2 linked regions of the Mytilus edulis genome follow. Each later gene encodes a partner of the first gene's protein in a complex. Links are inferred from orthologs where the notes say so. Each region holds a gene or a part of one and is shown in the gene's direction. Other genes may lie near its edges.

Region 1 (7,203 bases):
GGAGATATATACCCCGTATGCAGGTGCGGCTGGAATGTTGCTACTTAGAAATGGAAAGTTCACAATTGGAAAGCTGAAATCATCTCTTTTGTCGTAAAGTTTTGTTTTCAACCGACCCTCATTGTCAATTTCTAGATGTAAGTCAAGATATGAAGCCGACTTAACTGTATCTGTAGTATTCTTTATCTCTAGTTCGATGGGATAGATGCGTTCCACATAGTCACCAAATTTTGAATTGTTTAGTGAAAGAACATCATCTATATAGCGGAAAGTAGAGTTAAAGGATATTGCTAACTTCTTATCTTTCTTCCTAAGAAGTTCCTGCATGAAATCAGCCTCATAATAATAAAGAAACAAGTCGGCAAGTAGAGGGGCACAGTTTGTTCCCATTGGAATGCCGACAGTCTGTTGAAAAACACGTCCTCCGAACGTAACAAATATGTTGTCAATCAATAAATCAAGCATCTTGATAGTATCAGTTTCAGAGAATTTTTTGTTTGAATCGAAAGTTATGTAGCAATGCATGTGCTGTTAATATGTTGCATGCCTATAATCATTTATTAGAGTATACTCATTATATTAATTCTGTGTAATTATGCAATTGGGTACTATATAGGAGTAAGAACTTACCAACATGTGATAGTGTTCCTTCTATATTAGACAACGCTTTAAGCTGGAAATCTTGGTAATTCGCCAAGATAAGAACAAATCCCGAGACTAAAATATATAATTTATAATGACAATCTAACAAAATACAATATGTATATCAAAAAGTGACTTATATCATCAAAGAGTACAGGGTGTAAATATTAAAATTGTGCATGAAGATACAGTAAAAAAATATGAAGAATTGGATAAAACGTTTGATTAATTTAGTACAACTTGATAAATGGCATTTAATATTTTATTGAATACTTGTTAACCTGATTTGAACGTTGTCACTTCAACAGTATCTGTTTTAATTTCTGATTTGTCTGAACCTTCTGCTTCCATCCTAATGTGATATGTCGTATTTCTTTCGAGTTTCGATATAATACAGGAATCGACAGTTCCGTTTAGAGTTACTGACACATACGCATTATCATCTTCCGTAACAGGTTTATGGAACACTGTGTAAGATTCAACTTCGCCAAACTGTAAATTATCCCATCGTACCTCTATTTCAGTTGGAGATAAAGCATAAACTGCCACTGCATCTCTTGCTAGGACTGCAAAACATTGAATTTTCACAAATGAGTTAATTATTTAGATTGGAATAAAAAAAAATATTATATAATACCCCAATCGCATTGAAATGCAGACCTTTTGCAAACGTTTCTCATACAAGAGTCTAAACCCACCCTCAAAACATTAAGTTTGAATTTTTTATGCCAAGTAGTATCGTTTCGGCCTGCAAATGTGTAAATGTATATTTCAGAAAAACAAATTTCTAAGATACTGAAAAGTCTGTCTGTCTTTACAGTGTTGTTAATTCCTTTAAAGATAGTCAATAAGTTATCTACTAAAAATGGGTACTTTCAAGCATTTATGTCATAAAGAATATATGTTTTTCGTCCTATCATTTTTGTGTCGATTACACAACGGTACTAATATAAGATGGTATTATACGAAGATGTTGTTATTAAATTGTGTTGACAAATATTTTGGCTAAGCAAATAGCCTTCGTCAGTGTCGATTATTATAAATATATATATATACAACTCGTCTAAACAGCAACCCAACAACGTTAGATCTGTAAATTTGCTTTCGCAAATTTTTGTTCTTCCCTCGTCGGGATATATACATATATATATCTTAATATTAAACTTACGTATTTGTTAGTATATTCTTACTTCTAGTTTCTTTGAAGTCAGTGTCAGTTTGAAGTCGTTGTATGTCATTCTGAAGAGCCTCGATCTCTTCCAGCAATTTTTTATTTGAAAAATCATCTTTTTGTATCTTTAGCGCTTCTAGTCTTTCAGATAATTCATCGATGGTCAACTCGTCTATTAGTTCTTGGTTTGTTAAATCTGTCTCGCTTATATGTTCATCGTCTAGACTTTTGGTGCCGTGACCAGGAGAAATTAAAAGAAACAGACGAGTATCATTTTTATTATTCAGGAGATATGTTTTTTTCAATCTTTTCAAAAACTTCTAATCACGAAAGTAATTGTGTTATATAACAAAATGAAAATGTGAATGTTTCAGAGTAAATGGTTCTTTATTTTCAAATGTATCATCAGTTAGAATACCGTTTCACATTGTGGTTATTCGAAACCATTACAATACCAAGAATGATTCTGTTTATCGAAATATCTATATAAATTAAGCATATTTGAGATTATTTTTTGTTTTTATATTCTAAATTCACGGTATTAAATGCTTACTTAATACTCTCTTCTTTTGCTTTTCATGGATCTTTATCTCATTTTGAAGTTTATTTATTTCTTTAAGTAATTGCTGCTGTGATAAAAGTTCTTTTTCTTGTTCCAGCTTTTGTAGTGTTTTCAGTAACTCATCATCTGTAAAATTCTCCAGTTCACTAACGTCAATCGTGTCTGACGTCTCCTCTTTTGTGATAGTATTCATTATCGGCGTAGACATTATTTTTCATCTGAGAAAATCTGAAAAATGTTACCGTATTTTTTTTTTTTTGCTTTTAAAATACAAGTCAATTACTTCGTAAAATTTATCGTATTCCGTGTCGTGCTTTTTAACAAAACTGTTTCTAAAGAAGATTGCAGTTAACTAACATATCGTACATAATGATGTGTTTGTTACTGTTACGATATTAACTTTCACTGATGTTACATATATGCCCAATGTGAAACCTTGACAGTTCTTTGCACCTAAATAATGAAATTTTACCTGTTTTTAACATTATAGATTTTCGTTACCTGTTTTTGATAGTATACACTTCCGTTCGACATGTTGTTTAAACAATAAAAGTATTGTTGAGTCGCTGAATTAAATGTTCCAAATGATTGCATGCAACTATATATTTAGCATATTATAACTATATAATACTGAAATTATAATTACCTTTAAAAAATATTGAAACAAGCAGAGTGAAGAAAAACTATCATATTTTAAAAATGTATGTCTAGATTTATTTTAGTCCCTCAATTTTTTACATTATATTTTTTCAGTTGGTTTTGTTGTTTTTTATGGATGTATATATTCAGCTTAGATTAAAATTGAACAAAAATCGACTTCAGCTGTTGATAAGTAATGAATTTGAATTGTTTAATCAAAACCCATTTGTTTTTCCACTTTTACTGTTTGTTTTATTTATTCTGACCTAGTGGTCCTTAAAGTATAAAAGCCTCCTTTTCGTAATTTTATATATTTTGTATTCCAAATTTTATATAATGGTAGTGTCCAGTGTGTGCACCACTTATTGCAGACCTGTTTCTGTATTGTTGTGAGTTAAAATTTATTTATTAAAATCAGCAAAGACCCATCGAAACTACGTCTGATACAAAAATTAAATGATACTTTTAGATATTTGGATTATATATTTGTTCTCAATAATGACGAGATTTATCCTGTAGAACTAACTTTAAATGAAAATAGTGCTAACAATGTACACTGCCCTTTCCTGGATCTTGATATCTATATCATTAACGAGAAGCTTAAAACCAAAATGTATGATAAAAGTGAATGATTTTTCATTTCCTATTGTTAATTTGTGCCGAAATTTAGTCTCATTTTCAAAAATAATCATATTTGTTATAAAAATATAATTTAACGGCATATTTCTTCCATTTCAACCATCCTTTGAAGTTTTTACACCTCAAAATCATAAAACGGCGAATATGAGCGCCCCACTCTAACAGAAATTGATATGTACATGAATTTTCCTATATATTTGTTTCCCCAATTTCACATTCAAAGAGTTTTTTTTTATGGCACGATTGCAGCAAATATATTTGCGATCGTGACTTCAAAGCACCATATTTGATTGAATTATAAAACTTTGTCTTTAAAAGATGTTGCAGTAGCTCAAACAAAATACCCCCCGCCCCGGATAATTTGACTACATTTTAATTCACGATATTCGTCAGAACATATACAACCCTTTCTCTTTTTAAATGTTTAGTATCCACTTGCCTAGATACAACAATATGTTTAGTATTAGTTTTTCAACCAAATTCAAACGATGAATCATGTCGTACGATACAAATGACGCAATATTGGTCAAAATTTGGCGGGAATTATTAACTCCCTTGCGTAGAAAATTTATTTCAGGAAGGATAACTCAAATTCAGCGGAAGTCAACTTCTTCAGGCGGTGCTGAAAATGAAAACACAGTAAAGAAAGCGGATCAAACAAGCATTTCTACTAGTTTGCCAGTGTTTGGTATCTATTTGAAACATGTTACCAAAGGGTTAAAAACTGATGTACGTATTTCAATTAGTAGAATACACAATAATTTCAAAACACACCTATACTAGATGAACGAATTTTATAAAATGAAGGGTCTCACATTTTATAAAAAATATATTTTCGCCTTATCATTAAAAATTATATCACAATATGCGTAATGTGAGGTGGTACTGTAGATTGTCTCTTTATTTCATTCCTTGAAGAAACCATGCATAAAAATAGGATCTGATATAGAAATAATTTGATTCAAATAAACCTGATTTTTGAAATAAGGACAAATGTATCTACATTGTATGGGTATCGTCGTGTCATATGTTTTTGTATGTCATATGTTTTCGTATCAACCACATTTCGTCGGTTTCGACTGCATACGCGTACATTGTGGCATGTTTTTCTGTTTCTATATTTAGAACAACAACACCACTACAACTTGATATATTTAAAACATATTCAACGTCGCTTTTTAAAGACGTTAGAACAAATTAAATAAAACTGACCTATTTAGCCATTTTTATTTAATGTCAAAAATACGCATCACTAGAATAGTTGTGGAAAAAAATTCTGAAGGGTTAAAATAAAGTCCAGATATGTTTTTTGCAAGTCAGACACCGGATCTTCAAGACATATGACTGTCATGTGTTTTTTTGGCCGTTTTAATTACAAACCATCGAGTTAAAATTAGCAGGGTTTTTATATAAAATGGTTGTTCAAAATCCAACTATTTAATATTTCATTGAAATTTTTAGATTTTGATTAATTTTCAGATTGGCACCTGGTTTGTACAAAATACATTATTTTTTCTAAAATAAAATGCAGTTTTCAAAATTTATGATTAAATATAAAAAGTTAAGACTGTTTTCATCTTCATGTATCAAGGATGTATAAAAAAAACATAGAGAGAACTCAACATCTATGTCATCATTGCTTATCACATGGATCAAATTCTATTGAAGATGAGACCCATTTTACAGTAAATTGTCCATTATATGATGAACAGAGGAAATTATTATATGATAAAGCTACAACTTTTTGTACTAATTTTAAAGAACTACCTAATGATAAGAAATATTTCTGGCTGTTCACAAATGAGCATTTACCAACTCTCATGTGCCTAGGAAATTACATTATTAAAGGGTTAGAAATAAGATCCAGATGTAAACAAAATATATGAAGTAATTTAGTATTTTATTGTTATAAGATTTAATATAATAGTTATATAAAACACATGTTGTGTTAGGCTCTGATCCTGTTCATAACGTTAAAGTATGTATTAAACAGTGTATTAAAAAATGTTAGAATTATTATTAAATTGGAATTTAGGTAAATTTGTGCTAGGGACATTTTTCATGCCTCACATGTATTCAAAAGAGAATATACAAATGAGTCATGTCAACATCATATCCATACTGTAAATAATTACTGAGTTTTGTTGTTGATTTATGACTTGCCGTTATGTAGGTGGATGCAGCTTATCTATTACTGCCTACAGTTGTGTCATATACCTTTATAATGAAGTTAGTTAGATGAAGCTGTATTATGTACAGGGTTAGTTGACTGAGGCCGTGCTGTGCACAGGGTTAGTTGACTGAGGCCGTGCTGTGCACAGGGTTAGTTGACTGAGGCCGTGCCATGCACAGGGTTAGTTGACTGAGGCCGTGCTGTGCACAGGGTTAGTTGACTGAGGCCGTGCCATGCACAGGGTTAGTTGACTGAGGCCGTGCTGTGCACAGGATTAGTTGACCGAGGCTGTGCTATGCGCAGGGTTAGTTGACTGAGGCCGTGCTGTGCACAGGGTTAGTTGACTGAGGCCGTGCCATGCACAGGGTTAGTTGACTAAGGCCGTGCCATGCACAGGGTTAGTTGACTGAGGCCGTGCTGTGCACAGGGTTAGTTGACTGAGGCTGTGCCATGCACAGGGTTAGTTGACTGAGGCCGTGCCCTGCACAGGGTTAGTTGACTGAGGCCGTGCTGTGCACAGGGTTAGTTGACTAAGGCCGTGCCAGGCACAGGGTTAGTTGACTGACTGAGGCCGTGCTGTGCACAGGGTTATTTGACTGAGGCTGTGCAGTGAACTGGGTTAGTTGACTAAGACTATGCTGTGCACAGGGTTAGTTTACTGAGGCTGTGATGTGCACAGGGTTAGTTGACTTAGTCTGTGCAAACTGGTATGTGTATACATGTGTCATTTTTGTGAAGCAATGATCTTTACAATGCTTTAAAATATTTGCCTTCTTAATGTTTTTGTTTCTAGTTTGTATACTTTCTCTTCTGTCAATAGCATTATTAAATCAGATACATAATATTCTGAAGTCATATTTAGCTCCTCTCAAACAAACAACTTTGTATGTCTGCAAATTTATTTTTATGCATTTTCAGATTTGCATTATTTCTGTTACTTTATGTCACTTGCCACTGTAATGCTAGCATGGTGAATGTATTTTGCTTTCAACAAATGGGTCACTAGCTAGTCATTTTAAATACTTAGAACAGTTAAGAGTTCTGGCTATATAGCTAGCTCTTCAATTTGAAGATCAAAATATGGAGATGGGGTATTAATTCGCCGTTTCAGAATCTAATGCATCCTGGGTAATATTTCCAAAAGTGTACAGCAAAACGTCATGATTGGTTAAAAATGTCATAAACAATGAAAATTTAACCAATGACGTGACGTTATTTTCACTTTGGGGTACGAACAATGAAATTACCCATGATGCTTTAGATTCTGAAACGGCCAATTACAATGTTTGAGACAACTATTATATTCATAATGCTTTCTTCAATATACAGTTCTGTTTAACATAATAATTTCTTATGGATACATTACACAGTACCAAT
Region 2 (7,764 bases), on another chromosome or scaffold:
TTGCAGATATGAGGATGATTCTTAAATAATCATTTCCAAATGGTGAAGTTGAAAACATCTCTATATTATATATATGTTAATTTTACGGACGCCATCACAAGTTGGTTGACCGTTATGGAATATACCTTTCACAGATGATATCTGATATGTTCCTTATGTAGTAACTACAATCCAATTCCCTTTTCACAAATGTGACCTACTGAATAAATCTATTTACCCGATTTGAAATAATGTGAGCAACACGACAGGTGCAACATGTGGAGCAGGATTGGCTTATCCTTCTGGAGCACCTGATATCACCCCCAGTTTTTAGTGGGGTTTGTGGAGTTAAGTCTTTAGTTTTCTATGATGTGTCTTGTGTACTATTTTGTGGCTGTTCGTCTTTTGTATTTTTAGCCATGCGTTGTCAGTTTATGTTTGATCTATGAGGTTGAATGTCCCACTGCTATCTTTCGCCCCTCTATTTAAAATGACATTAAAATAATATCTATAATAAAAAACAAACAATTGAAACTCCCCATATGGCCTTCAAAGTTAAGTGTGATTTTTCAACAGTACACAGTGTTAATGTGGAAGTATTTTTTTTAGTTTCTGCTGTTGACAGTTACATTTTGTAGTTTCTCCACTGAAGATGATTCAATTTTAGAATTTAAAATCTTAAATCTAACTATTGAGAGTAATGAAAAAATGAACTTCATTAGCAAAAATATTGTCATGTCATGACTAATGATAAACAAGGACTATGTTGCCAACTAATTTACCAATTAACAACTTAAAAAAATACCAACCAATAAAACAACTGGGGAAGAACAATATCATATGAAAGTAAAATAAATGATATGCTTTCTAGCTTAAGGGTTGCATCAAGCTGGTATTTTAAATACTTACTTAGATAATAAATAACTGTGATGATAAAAGTAACATCATCAGGTTGATTTGTCAAATTTTCTGGACTATTTCTGAACCATAACTCTGCCAAAACCAACGATGGAATCCTCAGAATAACTCCAACTACAGCCTCAACTTGTTCTCTCTGAACCTTCACCTGCCACATCATCAAATCTAGAATAAAATAACTAAGTTAAATAGTTACATTTGTTACCTTATATCTTACTTATAAGCATGATAAGGTCTTGTATTTACAAAATTATTTCAGTTGTTTTTTTTGTTAAACAGGCTTATCGTGTGATAAAATTTGAATAAGGACAATAAATTATTAATTACAAATGTCACTTATTCAAGTAGAGAATAAGAGGGACTGTATCAAGTTTTAACAAGTATGTAGCAAAATATTCATTTTTTTATTATGGGTAATACGGATACAACTAGAGGCTCCAAAGAGCCTGTGTCGCTCACCTTGGTCTATGTGAATATTAAACAAAGGACGCAGATGGATTCATGACAAAATTGTGTTTTGGTGATGGTGATGTGTTTGTAAATCTTACTTTACTGAACATTCTTGCTGCTTACAATTATCTCTATCTATAATGAACTTGGCCCAGTAGTTTCAGAGGAGAAGATTTTTGTAAAAGATAACTAAGATTTACGAAAAATGGTTCAAAATTGACTATAAAGGGCAATAACTCCTAAAGGGGTCAACTGACCATTTCAGTCATGTTGACTTATTTGTAAATCTTACTTTGCTGAACATTATTGCTGTTTACAGTTTATCTCTATCTATAATAATATTCAAGATAATAACCAAAAACAGCAAAATTTCCTTAAAATTACCAATTCAGGGGCAGCAACCCAATAACAGGTCGTCCGATTCATCTGAAAATTTCAGGGCAGATAGATCTTGACCTGATAAACAATTTTACCCCATGTCAGATTTGCTCTAAATGCTTTGATTTTTGAGTTATAAGCCAAAAACTGAATTTTACCCCTATGTTCTATTTTTAGCCGTGGCGGCCATCTTGGTTGGTTGACCGGGTCACGCCACACATTTTTTAAACTAGATACCCCAATGATGATTGTGGCCAAGTTTGGTTTAATTTGGCACAGTGGTTTCAGAGGAGAAGATTTTTGTAATAGATTACTAAGATTTACAAAAAATGGTTAAAAATTGACTATAAAGGGCAATAACTCCTAAAGGGGTCAACTGACCATTTCAGTCATGTTGACTTATTTGTAAATCTTACTTTGCTGAACATTATTGCTGTTTACAGTTTATCTCTATCTATAATAATATTCAAGATAAATAACCAAAAACAGCAAAATTTCCTTAAAATTACCAATTCAGGGGCAGCAACCCAACAACAGGTTGTCCGATTCATCTGTAAATTTCAGGGCAGATAGATCTTGACCTGATAATCATTTTTACCCCGTCAGATTTGCTCTAAATGCTTTGGTTTTTGAGTTATAAGCCAAAAACTGAATTTTACCCCTATGTTCTATTTTTAGCTGTGGCGGCCATCTTGGTTGGTTGGCCGGGTCACGCCACACATTTTTTAAACTAGATACCCCAATTGTGATTGTGGCCAAGTATGGTTTAATTTGGCCCAGTAGTTTCAGAGAAGAAGATTTTTGTAAAAGATTACTAAGATTTACGAAAAATGGTTAAAAATTGACTATAAAGGGCAATAACTCCTAAAGGGGTCAACTGACCTTTTCGGTCATGTTGACTTATTTGTAAATCTTACTTTGCTGAACATTATTGCTGTTTACAGTTTATCTCTATCTATAATAATATTCAAGATAATAACCAAAAACTGCAAAATTTCCTTAAAATTACCAATTCAGGGGCAGCAACCCAACAACAGGTCGTCCGATTCATCTGAAAATTTCAGGGCAGATAGATCTTGACCTGATAAACAATTTTACCCCATGTCAGATTTGCTCTAAATGCTTTGGTTTTTGAGTTATAAGCCAAAAACTGCATTTTACCCCTATGTTCTATTTTTAGCCATGGCGGCCATCTTGGTTGGTTGGCCGGGTCACGCCACACATTTTTTAAACTAGATACCCCAATGATGATTGTGGCCAAGTTTGGTTTAATTTGGCCCAGTAGTTTCAGAGGAGAAGATTTTTGTAAAAGTTAACGACGACGGACGACGACGACGGACGACGGACGACGGACGACAGACGACGACGACGGACGCCGGACGCAAAGTGATGGGAAAAGCTCACTTGGCCCTTCGGGCCAGGTGAGCTAAAAATAAAAGTCAACACTGCAGTCCTTAATAATTTTCAATATTATTAATTGGAGTGTTTCATTTTGATTTGTTGTTTTTTTGTGTCAATACTGATTAAGGACCACATCTTTTTTTTTAATCAACAGGGAGGATACATGTTGTCATGCTTACAATATTTTCAATTTACTCTTTTAAGCTAGATCCTATAGTTTTTGAAACAAAAGTAAATGTAAAAACTTTAAAAACTTTAAAAATTCAGGGGCAATAACTCCAAAATAGGTGTTAATATTTCAAAATTATTCATGGTAGATTATAATATTAGAACTTGTGGTAATGTGCTTAACAGTACTATTTCTCGAATTGTTTTAATTCGTAAATATTAGCCTAGACTATTCTTTGGCCCTATGACAGTCATCTGATGATGTTCATGTTGGTTCATCAAAAATCACAAACTAAGAAGAAGCAGAAAAACTCTGGTTTAAATCCATTGAAGTTTCAGAGAAGACTATTAAAGAAAAGTTTATGTATGACAAAAGGATGCAAAGTAATGGCAACAGGTTAACTTGCTCAAAAAAGATAACAGAAATATCAATCAAAATAATTTGACAAAACTAAGACCCCACCTGCTACCAGGAAAAATTTAAATAATAACAGTTGCAAAAATAGAATGGGTAGTTTCTGCAATGTATGTTGATAGGTATGAAGGATGGGAAATTTGAACTCTATATGGTAATGCACTTAAATGCAGTTTTCAAAAGTGGAAGCTAGGTCATATGAGTTCAGTGGACCGTGAAATTCGGGTAAAATCTCTAATTTGGCATTAAAATTAGAAAGATCATATCATAGGGAACATGTGTGCCAAGTTTGAAGTCAATTGGACTTCAACTTCATCAAAAACTACCTTGACCAAAAACTTTAACCTGAAGCGGGACAGACGGACGAACGGACGGACGAACGGACAGACGAACAGACGCACAGACCAGAAAACATAATGCCCCTCTACTATCGTAGGTGGGGCATAAAAATATCATAACGACCTATAAGGAGCTATCAGGATCACAGCTACCCCAGCATAAAATTGTTTAGTCACAATAGTTATGAAGGTGTCACAGACAAAAAATAAAATAGCCTTTCAAAATTATTTGGGCTTAGAAAAGTTAAGAATAAATTCAACATTGATTATAAAAGAGAAGTTATTGGGTCTTCCAGGAATATAGGACTAAATCCATGGGGACAATGCCAGCTGTCAGCTAGTTTCAACATTTTACAAGCACTGTCATTTTGGTATTTGATATGAAACAAAATCATATGATATAATGTAGGAATTTTAAACTATTTACTGTTGTTATATTATGGCCTAAGGATACTTTCAGGTGGTTGAAATTCTGCTGTCTGCTTTGATCTATAATTTACATTAATATACAAAACAAATGACGGATGAGGACCTGTTTATCTTTTGTATTCATTTTTTATTCTAACCTCAATTTTGTAAAACAAACTAATCTTCTTTTAAAAATTAACATTGATAAACAACTGTTTCATCTTAAGAACATAGTGAGTGATCTGATTTGATTACAAGCAGCCTGGATTAATAAATAGTGTTGTCTTCTAAGTGCTGCAAATCATCACTACAACGAGCAAGAAAACACCGGAAGTTAATATTTGACAGATCGATCATGTCGTATTTCGGAAAATTTAAACATTTTTCCAATGTTTTGATACGAATACCACCTCTATTTATTATTGATAGTTTGTTGAATGGTTCATTGTTGAAAGTTGTATACCAGAGTGTTCATCCAGAGTATAGTTTGTATCCAATAACCACATGGACACAGTTGTTTCAATGGCTAGCTACGTCTTTCACCAGTGCGTACAACTTGATACTGTTATACAATGTTTATACAGTTGCAATACAATGTCAACTAGTTATCTATTGTTTGTTTTTTTTTTTTTTTTTAAAGATATTTTCATACATCCCTTGTTTCTTTTGAAAATACTTCAAGGAAAAAATCACTTTGGAGATAAGTAAACATCTTTTAAAAATATGTTCAAGTTTAAAAGCTTTCTTTCAAGGCAGTGTCTGTGGGTAAGAATAGTCAAATTGCCATTCGTAGTCTATGCATACCCACATCCGGTGTTATAATAAAATACCATCGGATCGGAAATGAAATGTGCACAATAATTTTCAATAATATGGGGATTTCATGTACAACGAGTGAAGTGAATGAAAAATAATATTTTCAAATTGTATTTATTAGATAATAATACACAATAAACATTGCAAATTAAATGTACACTGAAGAAAAATGAAACTATACAGTCCCTGTAAAAGAAAAACATGATAAAAATTAATACATGTACATGTAATACTAGTATAAAACATGTAAAATGTAATTGCAAATTTAAAGAATTAAATTTTACTGGATTTAGAAAATATCCATATGAGATTTTAAAATAATCTTTAAGTAAAAATGTAAAACAAAAATGGAAATTTAAAAACTACTTAAATTAAAGCTTGGATGTCTATATAAAAATTAAAGAAGCAAGCAATAATATTTAATAATGTCAAATTAAACCAATTTTGTCCATCTTTAAATTAGTCACGCCAAGTCTAAAGTAGTCCGTGCCTAATTTCAATGTTTGTAGTTTGATATCTATTTATATATTGAGCAGTTATCTCATCTTATTAAAAACATTTATCATTTATATGTTTTGTAGTTTAGTGTGATTTTCCATTTTCTTTGAACTACTCAACTAGTACACATTTTGTCATGGGCCAGGCGAATCCTGCCTCTGTGTGTAGGATTTTCTTGCTGTGTTGAAGACCCATTGGTGGCCTTGGTTGCTTTCTGCTCTTTGGTTGAGTTGTTGTCTCTTTGACATATTCCCCATTTGATTTTCTATTCTCAATTTTATTTAAAACAAAGAAATACATAATAAAAGCAAGTCGTTACATAACATGATTAAATATAAGCATTCATGAAAGTAAATACAATATAAATGACATTATAAAGTTCACTTTGTATTTCTATGCTCAAATATTAGATTAGAAAAGTAAGCAATCATAGGTTGTATACAAAATGTATATATTTCAGTTATTTATGTTGAACATCTTCTTGCCTTTTAATCCAATCAGGAATGGTGTTTATTTAAGGTGGTTCATTGCATGGTTATATTACATGTATATATATAGATTTCCTCGATAATAGTTCTTCTTCTTCACCAGATTGTATATTTTTCGCATTTCCATGATTTTTTCAAAAATGTTATTAAAAGAATGGGTCATGTCCTGTTTTTCAAGCTACAAATCTTTTAAAGTTGCCCAAATTTGCAAAGATTGTTTGTGACAAAACACTTGTTTTGTTAATTGAAAGAAAGTTGTGAGATAAAATTTTGGAAATAACTTATAACTTGATAGGTTTTAAAATATATGCTTTAAGAAAATAAAAAGAAAAAATAGTGTCACCTTTTTTTCTTGCTAAAAGAAAAAAATGAAAATTTCTCCAACATTCACTGTCATTCCTTGATTAAAAAAATATTCAACATTTGAGTTATCTCCCCATAAAAGGCTAAGTTGACAATTTGTATAGAACAAACACAAACATTTGGTATTTGATTAGATCAATCTATATACATTGTAATGCAATAATTATAAATTACTTGTTTTTCTTTAATCAAAATATTAAAATGTTCTCTTTCTTAATTTTTTCTCCCTCAGCTGCTTAATCATGTTAATGGTGACCTCTATTTTTGTCACACTTGCAACACACAGAAAGCTGTCTAAGTAACTGTTATTCTGAATTGATTATAAGCAATAAGGTGTGTACGGTTCCTGTCTCATTAATGTATAGGCCATGTCTTCTTTTATTCAGATTTACTAAAAACACCATCAACTCTGTCTTTGACAACTAATTTTGAAAAAGATATAAAGGAGTACTACAATAATAGGACTAATTTAGTTTTTGAACAGCCACATTTGTGCTTGCGTGCATGTACCTGATAGGGTTCATCTGATCGTGACCTTATTTACAAACATTAATGATAATGTATTTAGTATATATATACTAGAACACACCTGTGATATCGCGGGTCCGTGGATGAATTAAAGTATATATCTATGCGTAAGCCTTATTTTAGTATTGGTATTGTCATCTGATAAAGTCATGTCAATTATAAGATACACAGTTTTCTCTGCTTTCAAAATCTTTGTTTGAACCCGTCAACCTGGAACTTATCAATTATTGGTAATATTAATTATTTGGAAAACAAAAGGTCCTGGAATGGAGTATTTTTTAATCAACAGTATTGTCCTATATTAGTTATAAATAAGGTTGAGTTCTTTTATTCGCTGTTTTACATCATGCCCGTTCAAAAATTGAAAACTGTACCTATATATACGCATTATCATAAAAGTCCAGATTTTTAGTATTCATATTGTTATGTAAGAAAGTCTTACTGATTAAAATACTACAATAGGGAACAATTTGACAATGATTGAATTTAGAAGGGTCAACCCTGTGATTATGACCCGTGTATAAAGCAAATCCTAAATACATCGTTTGGTGGTGCGCCTTTCAGATGCGGAACGTACAGATAAGATAAGGTAATAGGTAACAGGTGAATATACTAT

Evidence for each region.
Region 2: sterol regulatory element-binding protein cleavage-activating protein-like (region 1) and protein TRC8 homolog share a complex: the UniProt entries of both Homo sapiens proteins name them as parts of the SCAP-SREBP complex. The link is inferred for Mytilus edulis from reciprocal best matches to the Homo sapiens genes SCAP and RNF139.

What each region holds. Positions count from the first base shown.
Region 1 is NC_092345.1:82,816,847-82,824,049, forward strand, and holds the start of sterol regulatory element-binding protein cleavage-activating protein-like, read left to right. Parts: upstream 1-4,186; 5' UTR 4,187-4,382; intron 4,383-7,203. UniProt on the Homo sapiens protein: Escort protein required for cholesterol as well as lipid homeostasis.
Region 2 is NC_092347.1:69,540,597-69,548,360, reverse strand, and holds the start of protein TRC8 homolog, read left to right. Parts: upstream 1-4,764; 5' UTR 4,765-4,810; coding exon 4,811-5,000; intron 5,001-7,764. Other genes in the region: RING finger protein 145-like, read right to left, coding at 889-1,057. UniProt on the Homo sapiens protein: E3-ubiquitin ligase; acts as a negative regulator of cell proliferation through mechanisms involving G2/M arrest and cell death.